Linked DNA regions of Kluyveromyces lactis. The protein of the gene in region 1 binds, or shares a complex with, the protein of each later gene. Links are inferred from orthologs where the notes say so. Each region holds a gene or a part of one and is shown in the gene's direction. Other genes may lie near its edges.

Evidence for each region.
Region 2: the proteins of ATG8 (region 1) and ATG7 are in contact, whole or in part, in a crystal structure (PDB 3RUI), measured with the Saccharomyces cerevisiae proteins. The link is inferred for Kluyveromyces lactis from reciprocal best matches to the Saccharomyces cerevisiae genes ATG8 and ATG7. Residues at the interface, in NP_009475.1 of Saccharomyces cerevisiae: Arg28, Glu37, Lys38, Lys46, Tyr49, Leu50, Pro52, Leu55, Gly58, Gln59, Val61, Tyr62, Val63, Arg65, Lys66, Arg67, Pro72, Glu73, Lys74, Ala75, Ile76, Phe77, Phe79, Asp82, Thr83, Leu84, Pro86, Thr87, Ala88, Glu112; in NP_012041.1 of Saccharomyces cerevisiae: Gly333, Thr334, Leu335, Leu436, Val437, Asp438, Ser439, Arg440, Arg443, Ala460, Ala461, Leu462, Gly463, Asp465, Ser466, Tyr467, Leu468, Tyr486, Cys488, His489, Asp490, Val491, Val492, Ala493, Thr495, Asp496, Ser497, Asp500, Met506, Thr510.

What each region holds. Positions count from the first base shown.
Region 1 is NC_006041.1:1,825,910-1,839,643, forward strand, and holds ATG8 (ubiquitin-like protein ATG8), read left to right. Parts: upstream 1-3,787; coding exon 3,788-4,162; downstream 4,163-13,734. Other genes in the region: isoleucine--tRNA ligase ILS1, read left to right, coding at 1-2,348; RTT105 (Rtt105p), read left to right, coding at 2,718-3,281; NUP170 (Nup170p), read right to left, coding at 4,837-9,195; KLLA0_E20637g (uncharacterized protein), read left to right, coding at 9,834-10,769; glutamyl-tRNA(Gln) amidotransferase subunit PET112, read left to right, coding at 11,149-12,768; KLLA0_E20681g (uncharacterized protein), read right to left, coding at 13,233-13,734.
Region 2 is NC_006037.1:456,229-465,730, reverse strand, and holds ATG7 (Atg7p), read left to right. Parts: upstream 1-6,479; coding exon 6,480-8,291; downstream 8,292-9,502. Other genes in the region: THP2 (Thp2p), read left to right, coding at 1-29; putative GTPase MTG2, read left to right, coding at 283-1,971; ATP-dependent RNA helicase DBP8, read left to right, coding at 2,257-3,564; NOP19 (Nop19p), read left to right, coding at 3,765-4,358; ribosome-binding protein NMD3, read left to right, coding at 4,614-6,158; histone acetyltransferase GCN5, read left to right, coding at 8,725-9,502. UniProt on the Saccharomyces cerevisiae protein: E1-like activating enzyme involved in the 2 ubiquitin-like systems required for cytoplasm to vacuole transport (Cvt) and autophagy. Activates ATG12 for its conjugation with ATG5 and ATG8 for its conjugation with phosphatidylethanolamine.

The sequences.
Region 1 (13,734 bases):
AACCATTGTTCCCATACTTTGTAGACGAATACAAAGACACCGGTTTCAGAGTCTTAGGTGACTCATACGTTTCTAACGATTCCGGTACTGGTATTGTTCACCAAGCTCCTGCATTCGGTGAAGACGATAACAGAGTTTGTTTAGAGCATGGTGTCATCCGTGAAGATACGCCAGCACCAAACCCTATTGACGATGTTGGTAAATTCACCAAAGAAGTCAGTGATTTCACTGGAATGTACGTCAAGGACGCTGATAAAGAAATCATCAAAAAATTGCTTGCTTCCGGCCACATCCTGTTGAACTCTCAAATTCGCCATAGTTATCCATTTTGTTGGAGATCTGATACTCCATTGATTTATAGAACTGTTCCTGCATGGTTCGTGCGCGTTAAGACCATCATCCCACAATTTTTGGAATCGGTCAAAAAATCTAACTGGGTGCCAACTGTCATCAAGGAAAAGAGATTTTCTAACTGGATTGCTAATGCTCGTGACTGGAACGTTTCCAGAAACAGATACTGGGGTACTCCTATTCCATTGTGGGTATCCGAAGATTATGAAGAAATGGTATGTATCGGTTCTGTTGAAGAATTGAGAGAGCTCTCCGGTGTCCAAGATATCACAGATTTACATCGTGACTCCATCGATAACATCACCATTCCCTCCAAGAAGGGTAAGGGTGTCTTAAGAAGAATCGAAGAAGTGTTTGACTGTTGGTTTGAATCTGGTTCCATGCCATATGCATCTCAACATTACCCATTTGAGAACACTGAAAAATTCAGCCAGAGAGTTCCAGCTAATTTCATTTCTGAAGGTTTGGATCAAACCAGAGGTTGGTTCTATACTTTGGGTGTTTTGGGTACTCATCTATTCGGTGAAGTTCCTTATCGGAATGTTATTGTTAGTGGTATCGTTTTGGCTGCTGACGGTAAGAAGATGTCCAAGAGTTTGAAGAACTTCCCAGATCCAAACATCGTCTTGGAGAAATATGGTTCTGATGCTTTGAGACTGTACTTGATCAACTCTCCAGTTTTGAAGGCTGAATCTTTGAAGTTCAAGGAAGAAGGTGTTAAGGAGGTTGTTTCCAAGGTTTTGTTGCCATGGTGGAACTCTTTCAAGTTCTTGGATGGCCAAATTGCTTTGTTGAAGAAGAATTCTGATGTTGACTTCAAGTATAACCCACACCTGAAATCGGATAATGTCATGGATAGATGGATTCTTGCCTCTCTACAGTCTTTGGTAGCTTACATTCATCAAGAAATGAGCACCTACAAACTTTATACAGTGGTTCCAAGACTACTAGATTTTATTGATGAATTGACAAATTGGTATATCAGATTCAATCGTCGTCGTTTGAAGGGTGAAGGTGGTGTCGAAGACTGTTTGAAGGCTTTGAACACTTTATTTGATGCATTGTTCACATTTGTCCGTGCTATGGCTCCATTCACTCCATTCTTATCGGATAACATTTACTCCAAGTTGAGACCATTCATTCCAGAGGAAGTATTGGCTCAATACAGTAAGGATTCTAGATCCGTCCACTTCTTGAGCTATCCAGAAGTCAACGAAGATCTTTACGATGAAGATATTGAAAAAGCAGTTAAGAGAATGCAATCTGTTATCGACCTTGGTAGAAATATTCGTGAAAAGAAGACTATTTCTTTGAAGACTCCATTAAAGACCTTGGTCATTCTACATTCCAATCCAGATTACCTAAAGGACATCGAAGCATTGAAAAAGTACATTGTTGAAGAATTGAACGTCCGCGACATCATCATCACTTCCGAGGAGGAAAAATACGGTGTGGAATACAGAGCAGTTGCTGACTGGCCAGTATTAGGTAAGAAGTTGAAGAAGGATGCCAAGAAGGTCAAAGACGTTCTACCAACTCTAACTTCTGCCCAAGTCAAGGATTACTTGTCTACCGGTGAAATTGAAGTAGCAGGTATTCAATTGGTAAAAGGTGATCTAAGTGCCATTAGAGGGCTTCCTGAATCTGCTGTTCAAGACGGACAAGAAACCAGAACTGATAACGATGTCTTGATCATTCTAGATACCAAGATCTACGATGAGCTAAAAACTGAAGGTCTTGCTAGAGAATTGATCAACAGAGTTCAAAAGCTGAGAAAGAAGTGTGGTCTTGAAGCCACAGATGATGTCATTGTCAAGTATGAATTAGTTAAAGATACCATTGACTTTGAGAATATCGTCAAAGATCATCATGACATGTTGACTAAGACATGTAGGTCTGAAATCCTGAAGGCTGAAGGATCAGAAACCAATCCACTTGCTGATGAAGAACTATCTATCAACGATACCATCTTCAAGTTGAAGATTTTCAAATTATAGATGTTGAAATGTATATAAAGTGGGAAAAAATGTATAGCAGTTACGTTTCTCTAGTGAAACGAAACCCGTCCGTACTACTTATAAATTCACCACATTTAATTAATTTAATTGCAATTATTGGCTCCGTAGATCACCTCTGCTGATTCTCTAGCAACAGTCGATCTCATATCTTATTTCGAATATAATGTGTATATGTAATTCTAAGGCGTTTTCAGTTTATGAAGTTAATCGAACAAAAAACCATATCTCTAGACCAGCATCATTAAACGCCAAAAGGATTAAGGTTATTTCTATGTACGCTGGGGAAAGAAGCCTGGAGCAGGCCGTCCGGTGTATTGCAGACGTTAATCCACAACTTTGAAGCTCTACATGAACTGTATACCGAGCAGTCCGGTTCATGGCAGATATCACGAAGAAGATAGCGATTCCGATCTTGACAATGTCCAAAGTAACGATGGAAGAGCCGATTCTAATATCACTGATGAAATATTGGAAGAGCGAAAGCTCAAATATCAAAGGTACAAGCAACCGTTATCATCATCGTCCCCCATTAGAGACCTTATGAGAGAAAGAAGGAAGGGCAGACTACGGGAACTGGCAAGAGAGAAGAAGATCAATAGCTACAGAAACGACATGGAACAATTCGTCATGGAACAAGAATACCTACGACACTTGCAAGACATGCAACAAGAAGCACAGAAACACGAGATACCGCCAGATGAGATTGATAGACTGGTAGAAGATGAAGGAGAGGTCGTGAATAGTGCCGATGAACCCGCTATGTTGAATAATATTTCCACAAAGAGGGAGCCAAAACAGCTAAATGAGGATGAAGAGCTGATACGGCTGATAGAACTGCAGGAAGAGTACGAATCCTTGATGGAGCAAGAACAACAGGAGCTCGAGGAAACCTTATCTGGCTTTAGCATATAGAGCAGCAGCTTCCACACATATATACGTACATAGTATTGTTACCCGGATATCACGTGATTCATTTTCTGTCTTTCCCACGTGACTTAAGGGTCAACGGCATCTCAAACCGTTTAAGGGGGGAACACTTTTGTTTTGTCATTTTCCAAACAGCAGAAAGGGTATAAAAAGGGAACACACGCGAAGATCAAAGCGGCGCATATCATCGATAACTAAACAAAGAGCGTTTTTCTTAGCTACCCAGTAATCTGTTTGAGTTTTGCAAGAAAAGTGCAGTACAGTGCTATTACGTGCAAGTTTTTTTCTTGAGAGAGAGAAAGAACCAGAAAGACGGATAAAAAGAGACACAACACGATTCAAGAGTTGGAACAAATCAGCTAGACTTTTGAAAGTTAAGTTACAAACATCTTTTCGGGTTATTAGTTTGAAATAGAGACAGGAGAATATTTCAAGAGAGTTTGATTATTTTTATCGGTGTTACGTATTATAGGAGAGAGTTTTAAAACGCAATGAAATCTGCATTCAAATCTGAGTTCCCATTTGAAAAGAGAAAGGCTGAATCTGAAAGGATAGTGCAAAAGTTCCATAACCGTATTCCAGTGATCTGTGAAAGAGGTGGCAAATCGGATATTCCAGACATTGATAAACGCAAATATTTGGTGCCAGGAGATTTGACTGTTGGCCAATTTGTTTATGTAATTAGAAAGAGAATCAAGCTACCTGCTGAAAAGGCTATTTTCATCTTTGTCAATGATACTTTACCTCCAACAGCAGCTTTAATGTCTTCTATTTACCAACAACACAAGGATAAGGACGGGTTCCTTTATGTATCCTATTCGAGTGAAAACACTTTTGGTGACGATGCCCTGTTTTCTGAGGAATGAGATTAAGTTAAACTTTCTTCCCTTTAAGTTTTCTTTTATGATTCCATTAGGTTGTTCTGCTTGATGCAAAACAAGTAACTAATGCACAATTTTGAACCAGATATTGTTGAAAAGATGATCTAAAAGAAAGAACCTGAATAACAATATTGAAGTGATGATAAGATGAAATGCATTGTCGAATGTCTACGATGCTATTATTTTCTATTCTTCCACACCTTTTGCTCTAGATATATACCGAAGCAGTATTTGAAATCTTTCTGATATGTTTTCCCTTCTATTTATCCTATTCTCATATTTCTAGCTGCAACAGTTCCCTAGATCTGGACAAAGCGTTGCTTATAATACCTGCTGATGAAGTCATATGTTGCCGTTCCATAATGAAATCTCTAGGCTTTTTTTTTTCACTTCGAAAGAGGTTCTTCATAAATATACAATTTTATATACCTCTTCAGCAGATTGCAGGTCGAAATTCGGTTTAATATATTCTTTCCATAACCAAAGACTTATCGCAACATCATAAGAAAGCAATATTGATATTAGTTGTTTTGTTTATTAAGATTGGGGTGAAAATGTTATTTATCAATATAGTATACAAAGGGAAATAAACACCACAACAGACGTTTTAAACTAAAGCTGTTCTTTTTTTTACCATCTCGCTGAAAGGTTAGAGTAACTCAAAACACACTATCACCTGTGCGCTTTTTGTAATTTTCCAATGGGTCATTTTCAATTGAATACTTGTCGAAGGAACGAATTTCTTCTAGTGGTATCAAATCTCTCAATTTTCTGTCAGAGTGATACCATTCTTTAATCAGCCAAACCATCTCTTGTTCGTAAATATCGTTGGAGCTGGTAGTTGTTTCAATTAAATCTTTGAGAACATGGTACATTCGGTCGTATGAGACGCCAGCTTGGATGAAAATAGATGCAATTGAACCTGCTTTGATGTGTTCTTTTGGAAGGTTCTCATATATTAGGCTACAGATGTGTGGGAATAAATCAACAACTGGGAACACAAATTCACTGGTACGTACATTCTTACCAACACGAATCACTGTTGATGATGCTAGACTAATGAAAGTAGTGCTTTTTTCCAGTTCATCCGTAGCATTGTTCTCTGATAAATGTTCCTTGAAAGAACTGAAAAGCTCTTCCCATTTCGATATGATTTCCTCATGATTTCTAAAGTCACTGACTTTGAAAATGAGCAGACAAATTTCATAATAACTCAATGGTGCGGCAAAGTCATTATAAAGTTCAGTCACGGTCAAAATTTTGCCTTCAAGTTGTTGCAAGGCTTCATTTCTGACAGTCGAATCAATCCTGAGGTCATCCTTGAGAGCACGGACAATTTCATCTTGAATGCTTGCTACATCGACAACTTCTTTTATCATGCCAGATAATTGAATCATGGCTTGCCTTTGGCTTGGCGGAGAGACTCCATTACAGAAAACGTTAGCTCTTGACAAGTACTCAATTCTGTTTTGTAGAGGAATATCGAAATCCGAAATAGCTAATGAATACAGAATTTGAGCTGCTTCCAAGAAATGCGATCTTTTGGATTGGTAAACCCAAAGAAGATTGGAAATTTCTAGGGATTTCGCTGCTTTTTCTTCTAAGTATGGTAGAATAAAATCTGAGTCTAGCTGAAGAAGCTTTTCTTCAGACTTTTGCTGTACCAACCAATCATACATTTGATAATGGAATAATTTGTCGTTATATTTTAAAGTAACGTTGTAAACCTCATCGCGGGTTTTTTGAATATCTTGATTGTTAACATTTTCAGGCAGAGCAGCTAGTTGGTCAACTTTGATTAAAGTTTCGAACACAATTTCATAGATCGAAACTCTAGCATTGTAGTATTTTTTCCTTTCATCGTGTTCCAAAGATCCATCTGCAACATATTGAAGTGCCAATTTACCCTTGTCCATCGCATTGGCAATATTCAACAAAAATTCGACGGTTTTTGGGTAGTAATTAAGTTCCAACATGATACCTACAGCCTCTTTTATCTTATCTAAAGACACATCATCAACTATTCTTTCAAATAACTTTGCTGCATTGGTTAGGTGATAGTTGAGTGTTTCTTGATCTCTGAGTCCTATTTCTTTTGCTTTTCTCAAGTGCTCGACAGCTCTAAAGCCAAGAACATCACCGGTGGAACAAAACGATCCACAGCGTTCTTGAAGTGCAGTAGCGATGTATTCAATAGATCCACCTTTTGTAATACTTCTGTTGATGATTGAGGAGAGAATCTCTCTTATTAAATTTTTGGTTTGTTCATTGGGATTGAAAATATCCTTGAATTTCAACTTGCTTAAGTCGTATTGAATATCGAAATTCAAGTACTTCATAATGTCAACAAATGCTAAGTATTGCCCTTCGTAACCATCTACTTCACTCTCTTCGAATAGTACGTTCAAAAATGAAAGTGACTCCTTTATGGATTGAAGGAGTTTGATAACTGCGTTCATAGCAACATTTTCTGCCTGATGCGCAACATCTTCTCCTTTATCCACCACCTTTTCTCCATTAATTGGAGAAATATTAGTGATTGTTGTAATTGAATTACCATATGATTGGAAGAACTCGTTTAAAATCATTACTGAGGATAGATAATATTCGATATCACCTCTTGATACAACGATTTTTGTAATAATATTATCACCTTTAATTGAACTCTTCATCACTGAATTATCCGGATTAATTTTTACATGGGGATCGAGTTGGAAAATATCTTTATCCCATATGTCTCTAAATAATCTGGCAATCAACAGAGCGGTACCGTAGAATCTAGCGGACAAGATGACATCATCAAGGTTGAAATTATTTGCACCAGATACATTTGGTGTCGAAAGAGTATTGGCAGTTTTGCTTAATTCAGTAGAGCTTTTTTGTGGGGTCATCAAATTCAGTGATGGTTTACCTAGTAGTGTTGATACCGCACTGTTCGCGTATTTGTTGTATGTTGGTTTGATTTCCACAACATTAGGTATACCTACAGTGAAAAGAGTTAACGCATTGGATCTCAAAGACTCTGACTTATTGAATTTACAAGTGACAAATAAAGCAGATGAGCAGGTTTCGACTAACCCATAATTTACAATGAAGGGCAGCGGGTTGTTAATTAAGGACTCCAAGATCTGGTCTGGGTTACGGTATTTATAGATTTCCACAGATGTATTTGTTAAAACGGCAACCTTCAATGGTTCTACACTGTACTGAGTTGCAAAAGCATTGGCATAGCCCTCTGGCTTATTGGCACCGTTGAACAAAGAGGATATGGGGATAACTTCTCTTACTGGGGCGGTGGTATCCAAAAATACAGAATTTTCGACGTAGCGACCGTGATTCTTCAAAATACCATAATCTGGTACACTGACAAAGAGCTTATGTTGTATTGGAGTGTTTTGAACAGTTGCTACAGGTGTTCCCATAGTTCCCAATGTTTGTTCCGCTGGATGTTTTGTAACAGCAGAAAAGAAAATGCCAGGTGAAATAATTGACGAAGCTTTCGAGCTTTCAAGTAACACTGACGATTTTTTCTGGTATTTCAACTGTACAGATTCCATACTGTTGAGGGAAGAATAGAAGGGTGTAAGTTTTCTAGTTTGTTGCTGCTGCTGCTGTTGTAACTCAATTTCTATGGTTTCTGGACTGACAGAACTTGGTGGGAACTTGATGGATTCTAATCTTAAAGCTTCTACGCTACCAGAATTAACAGAACCATTGAAATATAACCTAACACCGCCAATTGTGATAGCTACCAAAAATAAATTGTTATTCTCTTCTTTCGAAACCACCTCTACTTTAACTATTTTCAAATATTTGTTACCCAAGATAGCAGCTCCTCTAGCCGGAGTCGTTCCCATGATACGTTTAATATAAGAGGGTTCGATTGTAGTTGGTCCATCTAAGGATTTACCATTAATCTTATAAGCTCGGATGACTGATTTTGATGATAATGAGTACAAAATACCACGCGATTGGTCTACAGTCAAATGTGTAATGTATTCTTGTGCATACTTTGAATCTTCTTCAAATAAAGATTGTACAAGTGCCGAGCCTGGAATCTTGGAGAAAATATTTGTGGGGAGTAAACTCAAAAGAGCAGACTGTGTCAAACAAAGTTTGCTGCATTTATTGTTAAACCAATCTTCTGAAGATGAATATTGAAGTTCCCAAATGTTGGTCCCATTGCTGTTACCAGAAAAGAAGATTTGTCCTGTTTTCTCATAATAAACGATTTCATGTACATCCAATCCATGAACAGAAACGCTCATCCCTGTGTTGAAGATATTGAACGAGCCGCTGATTCTGTCATAAGAAATTGCGAGTATGTATATGTCAAAAGGAGTTGTTATCAATAACAAGTGGTTGATTGATTCCACGAATGTATCAGGTTTCGGTTTCACTAGGGCAACTTGTAATATGGTATGCTTGATGTCATCTATTGATTGGAAATCTGAAGGGTTATTATAATGCCAGAGGATCAACTTGCTATCAACAGTGATCCAACAACGTTCAATATCGGGAAATAAACCCATATTTGTTTTGATTTCAGCAGTAGATACTTGCTGCAAAATTTCATCTGGTATGTTAATCACATTAAGTCTTTCAAACGGAGTAAATGGGCCTAATCCACCAACTTCCTTGGAAAAATTGTAGTTAACCCCATTATTGTAGTACGATCTTTCATCCAGTACCGGGGTACTAATGTCACGACGCAACAAATGATCAATGTATTGAGAGGCAAGATTCAGAGGATTTGCAGCACCAAGACCCGTTACCTTAATATGCTCATGTGAAGCATTAAAGTTCAGTGGGTTTACTGTGTTGCCGTTTAAACCTGAAATTACGTTTGTCATATTAGCACCGTACGTTCCTATAGTACCGTCTGATCCTTGTTGTTGAGGCACCAAAGAGGTATTGCCAATTCCATTCATCGGTAGCCCGTTGACATTGGCAGACGGGTTGGCAAAGTTTGCATTGCCATTCCAATTGCTTTTCAACGGCGTAGAATATATTGACATCTGTCCTGTCTTGCCGATACACTGTTAGCTCAAGTCTATACCCTATTTCCGAAATTCAAAAAAGACAAGTACACAGATACAGTAAAGCAAAATTTTATGCTGAGCAATCAGTTAACCAATTGGACAAAGTGCCCTTAGAGAAACATAACTGTTAGACCTGGTTCTGCAAGGTAGATTTAGAACATCATCTTTATTTGTTTATTCAGAGAACCAAAGAAAAAAATTTGAAAATGATTACCCGGAACTGGTGATCTAAACTGGAACATGATAGTGAACTCATAAAGGCCAACAATACCATTACAGTTCGACAGATCAACTTTATTCTAGTTGCAAAGCATTCAGTTTCTTGATTTCACCCATAAGAAACATCCAGTGTATGTTTTCATGTGATACGTGACGATATATATTAGTATTAGCAACTATGGGTACTTTATCATGTTCATTTATTTTGACACTTTTGTGACAAAATGTCAATAAATTGGTACTATAGGTAATGGAATATAAAAGATGATACCAGAAACCTTGGGTCCTGATTATAAGTTCAAAATTAAGTAAATTATCAATTAAATCTCCTGCTTTGAAAAGTACTACCCGGCAATTTTCCTATAGAAAAGCGTTCGCTCAAACAGAAGGCAAAAATGGTCGGAAAGCTTAGAAGAAAGATCCCATTGGATAACCAAGATGTTAATACCCAGCCGGCGAAAAGGATGTGCTTAAAAAAAAATATCCTATTGGAAGATTTGAATAAGGAGAATATTCCGATTGAAATACCTTACTTAAACGAAAGCCCTCAATCAGCTAGCAGCAGCCTTACAGGGGTTTTGAACTTACATCTCGAAAAACAATCTCCACAACGCAAAAGGCTGTCCACCAATATAGAGACGGACACTGTGTTAGATACGAAAAAGCAAGAAGTTTTGACTTCTTTAAAGTTAGAAGAATTACAAGATAATTTTAAGGACCTTGAAAGAAGATTAAGCATTCAAAATCGTGATTATTTCATCAAAGACGCTCACTATTCAGATGAAGATTTGACGAAGTGTAGAACTAATTTTTTGTTTGAATTGGAATGCTTACCAAACTTGAGCTGGTCTCAAAAAGGTAACCTTCGAACTGCTAGCTATATTCCGTCAGTGTACCAAAAGTTGGACCCAAATTGGTATTTTTCACAGGCGTTTTCAATTGATGATTTTACCAACTTGCCTGAATCAGTTAAGCCATTCTATATATTAAACCCAATGAATGAAGTACCAGAGTGCAATAACCAACAAATTGAACCAGTTGGACCGGAAAAGGCAACTGTGCATATTGAAAACATCGAACCTCTTTCTAAAATGATACCCAGCTCCAAATTAAAATTCCGTGCTAAGTCGTGTGCTTTTGATGAAGATATTGATTGCCAACTGTTGTTTAAGCAGAAAATTTCAGATTGTAACTATTACGAAGACGAAGTTGATCAAATATCACTACCAGATAGTTTGGATCACTGTAGATCTGTTAAGAAAAAGGTTACGGACGGAAAGAAATCTTTGAACAGAAACTCTATTCTATTCCACACCGATAAAAGGAACTAGTTAGAAACAATAATTATGGCTGTTCGAAAACCAAGATAATTCTGAAACGGTGTATAATATTTATGAAAAATGTATAAAACAGAATAAGGCAAACAAAGCTCAAACTATCCAAATACACTGTGTGCACAAGTTATGTCACTTTCAATCGTCAGTTAAATAAATCTGTCATCGTGCTTATGGCACATTTTCTAAGGTTCGGGTAAAAAACATGAAATTTGAATTAACAGAAGCAATGAACATGAATATAAAGACAAACATACTTGACAAAAGAACGGCTTTTAGGCGCTGTGTGTTAGTGATTTTACCAACTGCTTATTAGCTGTTTTTGAATTTCTAGTGGGTGTTATACTACTGAGTGATAAGCTATAAATAACCAGAAATGTTGGTGTTTAGAAGGAACTATGCTAAGAGGAATACTGGTTCCAAATTCAAAATTCTTCCTGAGTATAAGTTAAAATGCGGACTTGAAATCCATACTCAACTGAATACAGACAATAAGCTTTTTTCAATGTCAACTAACAGCCCGTTTGCAGATGTGGATAAGCCAAACTATCATACATCGTATTTCGATGTTTCGATACCCGGAACACAACCAATACTCAACTTGCAGGCAGTTCTATTTGCATTGAAGTTATCGCTAGCATTACGATGCAAGGTCAGTCTAAACTCACATTTTGACAGAAAACATTACTTCTATGGTGATCAACCATTGGGCTATCAAATCACACAACATTACAATCCTTTCTCAAGTAAAGGTAAACTACGATTGTACAAAGATTTAGACTCTATTGAAGAGGCTTTCAAAGACATATCTGTCATTCAGTTACAGATAGAACAGGATACAGGTAAATCTGTATATAACTCTACTGACTCCAATACAAAAATCGACTTAAATCGTTCGAATGTGCCATTGATCGAAATGGTGACTGAACCCGATTTTACAGACCTAAAACAGATAAGAGCTTTCATCAAGAAATATCAAAACCTTGTCAGACATTTGAAGATATCTACAGGTGACCTTGAAACGGGCGCGATGAGGGTTGATGTAAATCTTTCTATTAATGATTACGCCAGAGTAGAGTTGAAGAATTTACCAAATACTAGCTCAATCACTAATGCTATCAAATACGAATACAATAGACAAGTTAACATGATAGAAAAAGGCGAAGGTGACCAACTCAAACACACAGAAACTAGGGGATGGACAGGTTCGGAAACTGTTAAACTCAGAACTAAGGAAAGTATCATAGACTACAGGTATATGCCGGATCCAGAACTACCAAATATTCTTTTAACCAATGAAATAGTTGAAGGAGTAGAAAAGACAATTCCAACGTTACCAGACGATACCTGTATGATGTTAATGCAAGAGCCCTACGGTCTAACTTTAAAAGATGCAAAAATTCTCACAATCAATAGTAATGGCCATGATGATTTGTATTCCCATGATGAATTAAGAGCATGCTATTTTAGTACATTTGATGCATATCACTCATTATGCAAGAAACAAAACGAAGAGTTCGTGAGAAAACTACCTGCAAATTGGATAATTCATGAACTTTTGGGAAACCTAAACAAGATGGAAATTCCTCTCATCAAAGTTTCCCATATTCTACCTCCGGAGAAATTTGCTGAATTACTCTTGCTAATCTCTAAGAAAACCATCAGCAACGCCAGTGGTAAGCTTTTATTATCGCATATTTTGAATTCCTTTAAGGAGAACTCTTTTGTGGCTTCTGAGCCAATAAATTTCAATGCTCTAATTGAGGAATTTGAGCTACATGCAGTCTCAGATGTTGGTTCGGAAGAGCTCGAATTAATTTGTGAAAGTATAATTACCGAACTCAACAATAACAAAATGATTGAAGATATTAAATCTGGTAAGAAGAAAAATTCTATTAAGTTCCTTGTCGGTCAGGCCATGAGGATATCTCAAGGTAGAATACAAGCTCAAGAATTCGAAATTACTTTCAAAAGACTTCTTGGTGTTGAACCGTGATTACATTCCTTCGCTAACATGTCCACACTATCATCCATGTAAATACAGAATAGATAAGTTCATAATGAACATACTACGATCCAAAACTATTTTAAGATTATTCAAAGGATAATTCACCGAAATACCTTTTAACTACCTGACTAATATGAAAGTATATACCATTTATAAAATTTCCTTACTATAAACCTTGTATACCAAGTGTGTAGAACCATTCTACAAATACTGAATAAAAATATTAGGGTACCCATACCATTGAAAAGAAAAATTAGGCAGTCACCTTCTTAAGGTAATTGCAACAATAAACAAAATCCAGGTTTGGAAGAAATGAAGAAATAGAAACTTCAGGCTATAATTAGAGGGGAACCGAACTTACAATGTACAGTTTTTCGGAAAGATGAAACTACTCATGGGTTGTGTAGTTGCATTAGTGGAATATCGCATAAATTTCGAAACGTTGAAATTCTTTAACTCCAAACGCTCATGTCAGAATTCCAGATGGAAACAGAAGAAGTAGTTGGTTGGGCAGAAGAGTCGTTATTCCAAGTCGAAGTTGGTTCAGAGAGCATGAAAGTCGAAGATAACGAACTTGAAGAGTATAACCCCCCTCCATAAGGTAGTTGTGGATCATTATTTTCAGTAACTGATGATGACGAAGGTGTTAAAGGGTTCATAAAGTCATGACCTTGAGAGAAAGACTGTTCGATAAAATTACTACCAAAAGTTGGAAAAGATTGCTGTTGCATGTGGAATGGCTGCGAATGCAGTGGTTGCTGATACTGTTGAGGTAAAGACTGTAAACTCTGATGTTGTTGTGATAAGAAACGATTTTGTTGCTGTCCAATGGAACGATTATTGTTCATGTCCATAGGCACCATGAGATCCATATCGTTACTTACAGAAGAACCAACTGACACCGAACTTAGAGTAGATGACAAGCGAGAAGGGGTAATTGGAGGAGGTGTGACA
Region 2 (9,502 bases), on another chromosome or scaffold:
TAGAGTCGACTGATTACCAAATGGAATAATGTATCCAGGGATCTATAAATTGATGACGTTAATAGTATAATAGAATATGTAGCAATAGCAATAAATAATGAGCGGACAACAGAGTGCCAGGTGTACTTATATTTAGCTTATGGCGTTGTTTGTGTTCGATATGCTGATTGTCAGAAATTATCACATATTGACGTTCATTATTTAAACTCAACAAAATAAAGATGAGTTGACGATGAGATACGACTTAAGTTAATTGACACATGCAACCAGGTAAAGGAACAAATGGATACCCGTAGAAAGTCAATAAGAACCGGAGCTATAGTGATGTTAGGGCGGCCAATATTTAGAAGGATATCAAGAGTCAACCGCTGCAGGTTTTTTTCAGATGTACCAGATAATGCACCTGGCGCTATTGATAATGAGATATGGCTGCAAGAGCTAGCGAGCAGCCGATCTAAGCAAAAGGCTCCAACAGCAGCCGTCGAATCAACTCAGAACTTGTCAATAAAGGAAGAGAAGAAGACTTCTGTTCAACCAATGAAGGGATTAAGGAATAAGATTACATTCAATATTATATCGACGCCGCCAGATACGCAATACATCGAAATCAAATCGCCATTGTCAAACTTCACCAAGCTATCATACCTACAAAAGAATAAGAACATACGAGTTCAACAGTCGAACTTTGTTGACTTGAGAATCATCAAGTGTGCTTCAGGTAATGGCGGTGACGGATGTATTTCGTTTTTTAGAGATAGAGGGCGCGCCATTGGTCCTCCAGATGGAGGAGACGGGGGCGGTGGTGGGTCTGTGTACGTTCAGGCCATAGAAGGAATTAACAGTCTCTCAAAACTTCAGACTACATATATCGCAGATAATGGTTCTAATGGTACTTCTGCTCAGGCAGATGGATCGAAAGGTAAAGATGTAATGATTACAGTTCCGGTCGGGACGGTGGTAACATGGTGCTTGGATCCCAAAGTTGTGAGAGAGCATGTAGACCAGAAAATTAAAGAACAGGGAGGAGGATCATTGAGAACCATATTGGACACTTCCAATATCATCTTGAATTGTACAGGCAGATTTTACATGGATCAGAAACCAAACCGTATTCAAATGTTCAGAGAATCTTACGAACCTGGAAAAGGTTGGATCTTTAAGGGTAAAGATGAAGAATATCATTTATCAAAAGACTGGTTTCAAGACCTTTCCAAAAATGTAACAGAATATGATCATAACTTACTACAAACGGAGCTTGAATCTGATAGATTCCCATTATATGGATTGGATTTGAGTAAACCAACTGAGAAACCAATCTGTTTGCTAAAGGGTGGTAAAGGGGGTCTAGGTAATATGCATTTCTTAACCAGCTTGATCAGAAACCCAAGATTTTGTAAAGAGGGTAGGAGTGGACTTCAACAACATTTTATGTTTGAATTGAAAAGTATTGCTGATCTGGGACTTGTTGGACTACCAAATGCCGGGAAATCTACTATTTTAAACCAGATTTCTAATGCTACTCCTAGAGTAGGCCATTGGGAATTCACTACGTTACACCCAACGATTGGAACAATCTCACTTGGGATTGACAAACCGAAGTTCACAGTTGCAGATATTCCGGGAATTATTAAAGATGCCTCTCAGGACAAGGGAATGGGTCTTGAATTTTTAAGACACATTGAACGTTCCAAAGGTTGGGTTTTCGTGATCAGTCTTGAAAAGGATGATCCATCTCAAGATTTACAAATACTTATTGAAGAAGTGGGTGGCAAAGAGGTTGTATCATTGAAGAATATTCTAGTGGTTTGTAATAAAGCTGATATCGATGAGAAATCTACATTTAAGAAGTATCAGAAAATCCAAGCCCAATGCCAAGAAAACAACTGGGATGTCGTACCAATAAGTGCTCTCAAAGGAGAAAATATTGATGTACTCCTGCATAAAATGGCACAATGTGCTGGTAAACTGTAGATATAACACGAATAAGCGGCACATCCTTACTGGACGTCATGCTCTACTTCTTTTTCTAAGTTCCGATGTTCGAATATTGTTCCGAAATCCAATATTTTGGGCCCCCAAAATCCCATATTGGTGCATATTTGAATGAAAAAAGAAAACGGAAAGAGTCTTTAACATGTAAAATTTCTATACAGATGCGATGAGATGTGCTTTGACCTAAAGGCTGTGGTTAGTAGGAGTAACTTGTATATAAACCTCGCCAAGAGTACCTAAGAACTATAATATCTATATTAAGAGATGTCTAATTCTGAGTTCAAGTCCTTAGGATGTTCAAAATGGTTAGTGGAAGCATTAAATGCGATGAAAATCGTGCAGCCCACTGCGATTCAAAAGGCTTGTATTCCTGAGATTTTGAAAGGGCGTGACTGTATAGGTGGTGCCAACACCGGTAGTGGTAAGACTATTGCTTTTGCAGCTCCGATGTTGACCAAATGGTCCGAGGACCCTCAAGGTATGTTTGGGATCGTCTTAACACCTACCAGAGAACTTGCGATGCAGATCGCAGAGCAGTTCACAGCATTTGGAAGTGCTATGAACATCAGAGTCGCAATAGTAGTTGGTGGTGAGAGCATAGTGCAACAAGCTATCGAATTACAGAAACGACCACATTTCATAATAGCCACACCAGGTAGATTAGCACACCATGTCCTGAATAGCGGGGAAGATACCATTGGAGGGCTAAAAAGAGTAAAATTTCTGGTACTAGATGAAGCCGATATATTATTGACGGAAACGTTCAGTAAGGACCTTGCTACATGTGTAAGTATTTTACCACCGAAAAACAAAAGACAGAATCTCCTTTTCACTGCTACTATGACAGACCAAGTGAAAGCTTTATCAGACGCTCCACAGACGGAGGGCAAACCTCCTGTGTTTACTTTTGAGGTTGAGTCTGTTGATAACGTCGCCATTCCGAAGACATTAGAGACGACATATTTGCTAGTCCCAGAGCACGTTAAAGAGTCATACTTATACCAGATATTGACCAGTGAGAAATACGTCAAATCAAGTTGCATTATTTTCGTTAATCGTACCGTAACGGCTGAAATCTTAAGAAGAACTTTGAAATCTTTAGATGTAAGAGTCACGTCACTTCATAGTCAAATGCCACAACAAGAAAGAACGAACTCTGTACAAAGATTCAGGGCACAAGCTGCGAGAGTTCTTATCGCTACTGATGTCGCTTCTAGAGGTTTGGATATCCCTATTGTTGAACTTGTTGTAAACTATGATATTCCTGGCAACCCAGATACTTTCATTCATAGAGCTGGTCGTACAGCGCGTGCCGGACGCCATGGTGAATCACTATGTTTTGTAACAGAAAAGGATATTCAAAGAGTAGAGGCAATTGAGGAAAGGATTAATAAAAAGATGGAAGAGTTCACCGATGTAGGTGATACAGCCGTGATTAGGAAGTCGTTAACTAAGGTTACAGCAGCAAAAAGAGAAAGTCTCATGGCCATGGATAAAGAAGGTTTTGGTGAAAGAAGGAAACTCCAAAAGAGAAAGAATGAATCCAAAGAAAAGACTCATAGACGTACATAAACTCACATAGTTGATAGACCTATCCACATATTCCATTTAAAAATCAGTCACGTGAATTCTGATTCTTCCTTAGAGAGTAATCACTGAAAAAAAAATGGTAACTTATTCTTTGAAGCGATGAGATCGAACCAGATGAGATGCATCGGCCGCCATAAAGGTATACTCTTACAATCTAACAAGTAATACAGACTCACCAAGCCATGTCAAGAGCTCAGGAGATAAAAGAAAAGCAAGCACTACTTGCTAAATTTCAAAATGGGTTTAGCAGTTCCACTGCTAAGGTGCTCGGATGGATAGAGGATTCTAAGACGTCATCTAATGATCTAGCAAAGGAGGATAGCAACGAATCAAAGAAGGAATTTTTCCAGTTGCCTGTCATTCAAATAGGAAGCGGTTTATCATTTGAGAACGCGCAAAGTACTGATGATACCGATATACATACCATTGGAGAGTTCATCAAAAGTGATAAGAAGGTCAGCTCTTTAGCCAAAAAGAAAAGAGCTACCAAGGACGTGCAACAGAGAAACAGTATACACAGAGTGAGGAAAGACGACTCCCAGGCTATGGTTTCGTTAAAACATAAGATAAGGAATCAGGAAAGACAGAAGATACGTAACGAGCTTCCGAGAGGCACAAATGTTTCGAAAGACCACAGTAAAAACCAATATTATACCAAATCGACTTCATCGCATTCCGACTCTTCCTCGGATGAAGAAGATATGGAACCTAAAGTACAAAAACATTCCAAGAAACAATTTGGCTTGCTATTTGCTGGAAAGAAATCCAAACGTTGAACGTGTTAATCATTCTTTATAAAGTGTAATTCTCCTGTATATAGACTAGCTTAATATGCATAGATGCATAAATCCAAGGTTCAAAGTCACGTGCAAAATTTCTTTTTCTTGAGGGTTCGCAGTCTCTTTTAAGAAAAATTTTGAGAAAGCTCATCTCATCGCATCTTGTTCTTGCACAGTCTGATAGTGCTTGAAAGCTGATTAATGTCTGCATTATAGGTATTCCAGCAAGGGCAGAAGTATCCACCGAACTCGATGAATTACACTCCGTTAGATCAGAATCACATGCAACATCAGCATGCTACAGTGCTATGTTGCAGTTGTGGTGTGCCTATGGATGGGTCCTCAGGGCTAGTTATGTGTTACGACTGTATTAAGTTGAATGTCGATATTACAGAAGGTATTCCCAGAGAGGCTAATGTTTCTTTCTGTAGAAACTGTGAGAGGTTCTTGCAACCACCAAGCCAATGGATTAGGGCTTCTTTGGAATCTCGTGAACTTTTGGCGTTGTGTTTACGTCGTTTGAAAGGCTTAAACAAAGTTCGATTAGTGGATGCATCATTTATCTGGACCGAACCTCATTCTAGACGTATCCGGGTCAAATTGACCGTTCAAGGTGAAGCTATGGCTAACACTATTATCCAGCAAACATTTGAAGTGGAATATGTGGTGATTGCCATGCAATGTCCGGACTGTGCTAGATCTTATACCACTAATACATGGAGAGCAAACGTCCAAATTAGACAAAAAGTTCCTCATAAGAGAACTTTCTTGTATTTAGAACAGTTGATTTTGAAGCACAATGCCCATGTTGACACCATTTCCATTAGTGAGGCAAAGGATGGTTTAGATTTCTTCTATTCTCAAAAGAACCATGCTGCTAAGATGTTGGATTTCTTAAATGCTGTCGTACCTATCAAATGTAAAAAATCCGAGGAGTTAATCTCTCAAGATATCCATACCGGTTCATCTACTTACAAATTCACTTTTTCCGTGGAAATTGTTCCAATTTGTAGAGATGATTTGGTTGTTTTACCTAAGAAGCTTGCCAAGTCTTTGGGTAACATCAGTCAATTTGTCATCTGTTCCAAGGTTTCTAACTCTCTCCAGTTCCTGGATCCAACCACTCTTCAAACGTGTGATTTGACTGCTCCAATGTACTGGCGTGAACCTTTCAGTGCATTAGCTGAAGTGTCCCAACTAGTTGAATTCATCATATTGGACGTTGAACCTACTGGTCAAGTTAGAAACAAATGGGTATTGGCTGACGTTACTGTCGCTAGATCTTCCGATCTAGGCTCCAATGACCAAGTCTATTACGTTAGAACACATCTTGGTGGTATTATTCATCCTGGTGACAGTGTCATGGGTTACTTTATCGCTAACTCTAACTATAACTCAGAGCTCTTCGATGGTTTAAATATTGATTACGTGCCAGACATCGTTCTAATCAAGAAACTATATCAAAGAAAGACAAAGAAGAACAGAAAATGGAAGTTGAAGAGAATGGCTAAGGAACACAAGGATATCGAAGCTTCTCAAGACTACACTTCAAGACAACAGAAACAAGAAATGGAACGTGCTGAAAGAGATTATGAGATTTTCCTACAAGAATTGGAGGAAGATGAGGAAATGAGACAAACAATCAATCTATATAAGAGCAACAAACCAGCAGAGCACGAAGGCGAGATGGAAGAAGATGAAGATGAAGATGCTCCACAAATTGATATTGATGAACTATTAGATGAGTTGGATGAGATGACTTTAGAAGATCAACAACAAGGTGAAGAAATGCTATAGAATTTGGTTTAGTCTCTTCTTGTTTGGACAATAATTACAATATATATTTACGAGATAGGCAAGTTAGTTGAATTTACTCATCATCTGCATTAGATCAATGATACAATGGCCGTCTTGTATAGTGTACACTAGTGAATATTAATAATTGGCATGTTTCAGGGTAACAATGCTTTCCTGAGTTTAGTTCATTCTTGTAAAAAAGACGTCGATTCGTAATACTACCCTGATACACTATACCCTTAACTGCAGTGCATAGATAAATAAAGTAAACCAAGAAGTACTATTCTTTCTTCATGGAACAAAACCTGAGTACCAGGAAAGATGCTTAACGATCTTAAGTTTTCACCAGCTTTTAAGTCTTTTGTTGATACCTCGTTTTTCCATGAATTATCAAGATTAAAACTTGAAGTGTTCAAGTTAGACTCTGCTGAGAAAGAATTGTTCTCTGCACTAGACCTTGAAAATATCACTTCTAACACTGTTTCACTCTCGCTTAGAGATGACAGTTTCGATCCTGTTCTCAATAATGAGGCAGTGACTTTGAAAGGGTCAGTGTTGAATTTTAATACTATCGAATCATTCAAATCCTGTGACAAAGTAAAGTTTATCAAGGAAAAGGGACAGCAATTACTAGAACAGGGCCTCAAGAATGGTCTCAAAGAGTGTGTTAGGTTTTATGTCATAAGCTTCGCCGATTTGAAGAAATATAAGTTTTATTATTGGGTTTGTATGCCTACTTTCCAGTCTGAGGGGTCATCGTACGAAATAATCTCAACAAAATCAATCGAAGATGGTGTAAAGAAGGATATATGGGAGCAGAACAGCTTTATCTCCTGTGTTGTGGATGGAAAGATTCAGGAAGCATCACCTCAGTATCTCAAAGTATGTCAGAAAGTCATCTTCAAGGACTTCAGTCGGCTGAAGGGCATTCCTGCCGCAGTTACTAAGAACTTTCTAACGGTTTGGAGTCAAATATCCACAAGGAATACGTACACCATATGTTTCCTTCGTGATGATAATTCCAGCTTCGCGGCAGAGATCAGAGTTACCGGGAGCAATACAGGATGTCTTAAGGTCAGCGGTTGGGAGAAAAATGGTCTTGGAAAATTAGCTCCGAAATCGGCTGACTTAAGCTCATTGATGGATCCCGTGAAGATAGCAGAACAATCCATTGATCTCAATCTCAAGCTAATGAAATGGAGGATTGCTCCTGACATTGATCTAGAAAGAATAAAGAACATTAAAGCATTGATCTTGGGGTCAGGTACCCTAGGTTGCTACGTGGCTAGAGCTTTATTAGCTTGGGGTACTCGTCATGTAACTTTTGTCGACAACAGCACTGTCTCTTTCTCTAATCCGGTAAGGCAACCATTATTCAACTTTGAAGATTGTGGGCGACCAAAGGCCGAAGCTGCCAGTGACTCTCTGAAGAAGATATTTCCTTCTGTCGTTTCTGCAGGTTATCAATTGGAAATACCAATGATAGGACATCCTGTATCGAACGAAAGCAAGCAGAGGAAGGATTATGAAATTTTGGACGAGCTTATAAGGACGCATGATGTTATATTTCTTTTAATGGATGCACGCGAGACGAGATGGCTTCCCTCGGTGCTTGGACGAATGCATGAAAAAATAGTTATTAATGCGGCCCTTGGTTTTGACAGTTATTTGGTAATGAGACATGGCAACAATAATGACAACCTGGGTTGCTATTTCTGTAACGATATCGTGGCCCCAAGTGATTCTCTAACTGACAGAACATTAGATCAGATGTGTACTGTAACTAGACCGGGTGTTGCCCTATTAGCGGCTTCCCAGGCTGTTGAATTATTGGTGACATATCTTCAGCCTTCGACGAACGTGCTTGGGTCAGCTCCGCATCAAATACGAGGATTTCTAAATGAATTTAAAACTGTAAAACTTGAAACACCGGCATATCAGCACTGTTGTGCAAGCAATGAAAATGTCATTTTAACTCTAAAGGAAAACGGATGGAATTTCGTGAAACAGGCGCTAGATGATTATAAGTGTGTGGAGCAATTAAGTGGACTGTCGAAGGTGCAAGAGGAGGCTGAATTGGCAATTCAAGAAGATATTTCCTTTGATGACGACGAGGAATTGTCAATAGAGTGAAGTATAGCCAGTGCATCTGACAGGCTGATGCGTGGAATGATGTGACATGCATTCCTTTTGTGATGAAGCGTAGAAATCGATATTCGTCGTTAGGAAAAGGTGTTTATCTCTGATTTAACGGTCAGGATGAAATTTAGTTTTATAATTCCCAAGATAAATATAAGTCTTGCACAATTTGCAGCGTATTACGCCATGACGGGCTTGGTACACCTACATAACTGGGCCTTTTTCCGTGATCCATCAGCTTATACCAGGCATGTTTTAGATGTAGACTAAACTCGTTATCCGACTGTGGTGTACGGATGTATAAATCAACTTGAAAAATTACCAAAGCATACAAGAACGGGAATATATATTAGGTCGAGTAGACAGGATAAATAGTCACACGTAGACAAGATAAATAGTCACACGTAGACAAGAAGCTAAGCACCAAATGCCACCGAAGAGACGCCACCATGGTGCTGGAAGAGTCCAGAATAAGAGGGGAAAAGTTGACACTGTAAAAGAGGAAATCAAACCCAAAGATGAGCCTGTGGAAACTGAAATCGATGGCGGATCTGCAGTTGATGAAGATGTTACCGATGATTTAGAACACAAGACGAGCAAGGAAGACCAGAAGGAAGACCAGAAGGAAGAGGACGGACCTATAGATGCACAGAACGGAACTTCTGAAACAAAAGTTGCGGGGGAATCCGTAAAAACAGTGGAAGACAAAATCGAATCAGTTACAACGAATGAAGAGGTCGTTGAATCACCAGTCAATGACTACAATGCCAGTAGTACAACTACCAAGGCTGAAGAGAAACAATTAGAGGAAGAAGCAAATGAAAAGACGGATACATCTCCTATAGTTGAAAATGAGGTCGTTGATGAAGAGGCCGGCACAACAAAATTTGACTTTGATGGTCAAGAATACAGTTATAAAGACAGACCTAGTGTAATAGAAGAGAAGGAAGGAAAGATTGAATTCAGAGTGGTTAATAATGATAATAGCAAGGAAAATATGATGGTTTTAACAGGGTTAAAGAATATCTTTCAAAAGCAATTGCCTAAGATGCCCAAAGAATATATTGCTCGTTTAGTTTACGATCGTTCACATCTTTCTATGGCCGTGGTACGGAAACCGTTGACTGTTGTTGGTGGAATAACCTATAGACCTTTTGATAAAAGAGAGTTCGCAGAAATTGTCTTCTGTGCTATTAGTTCGACCG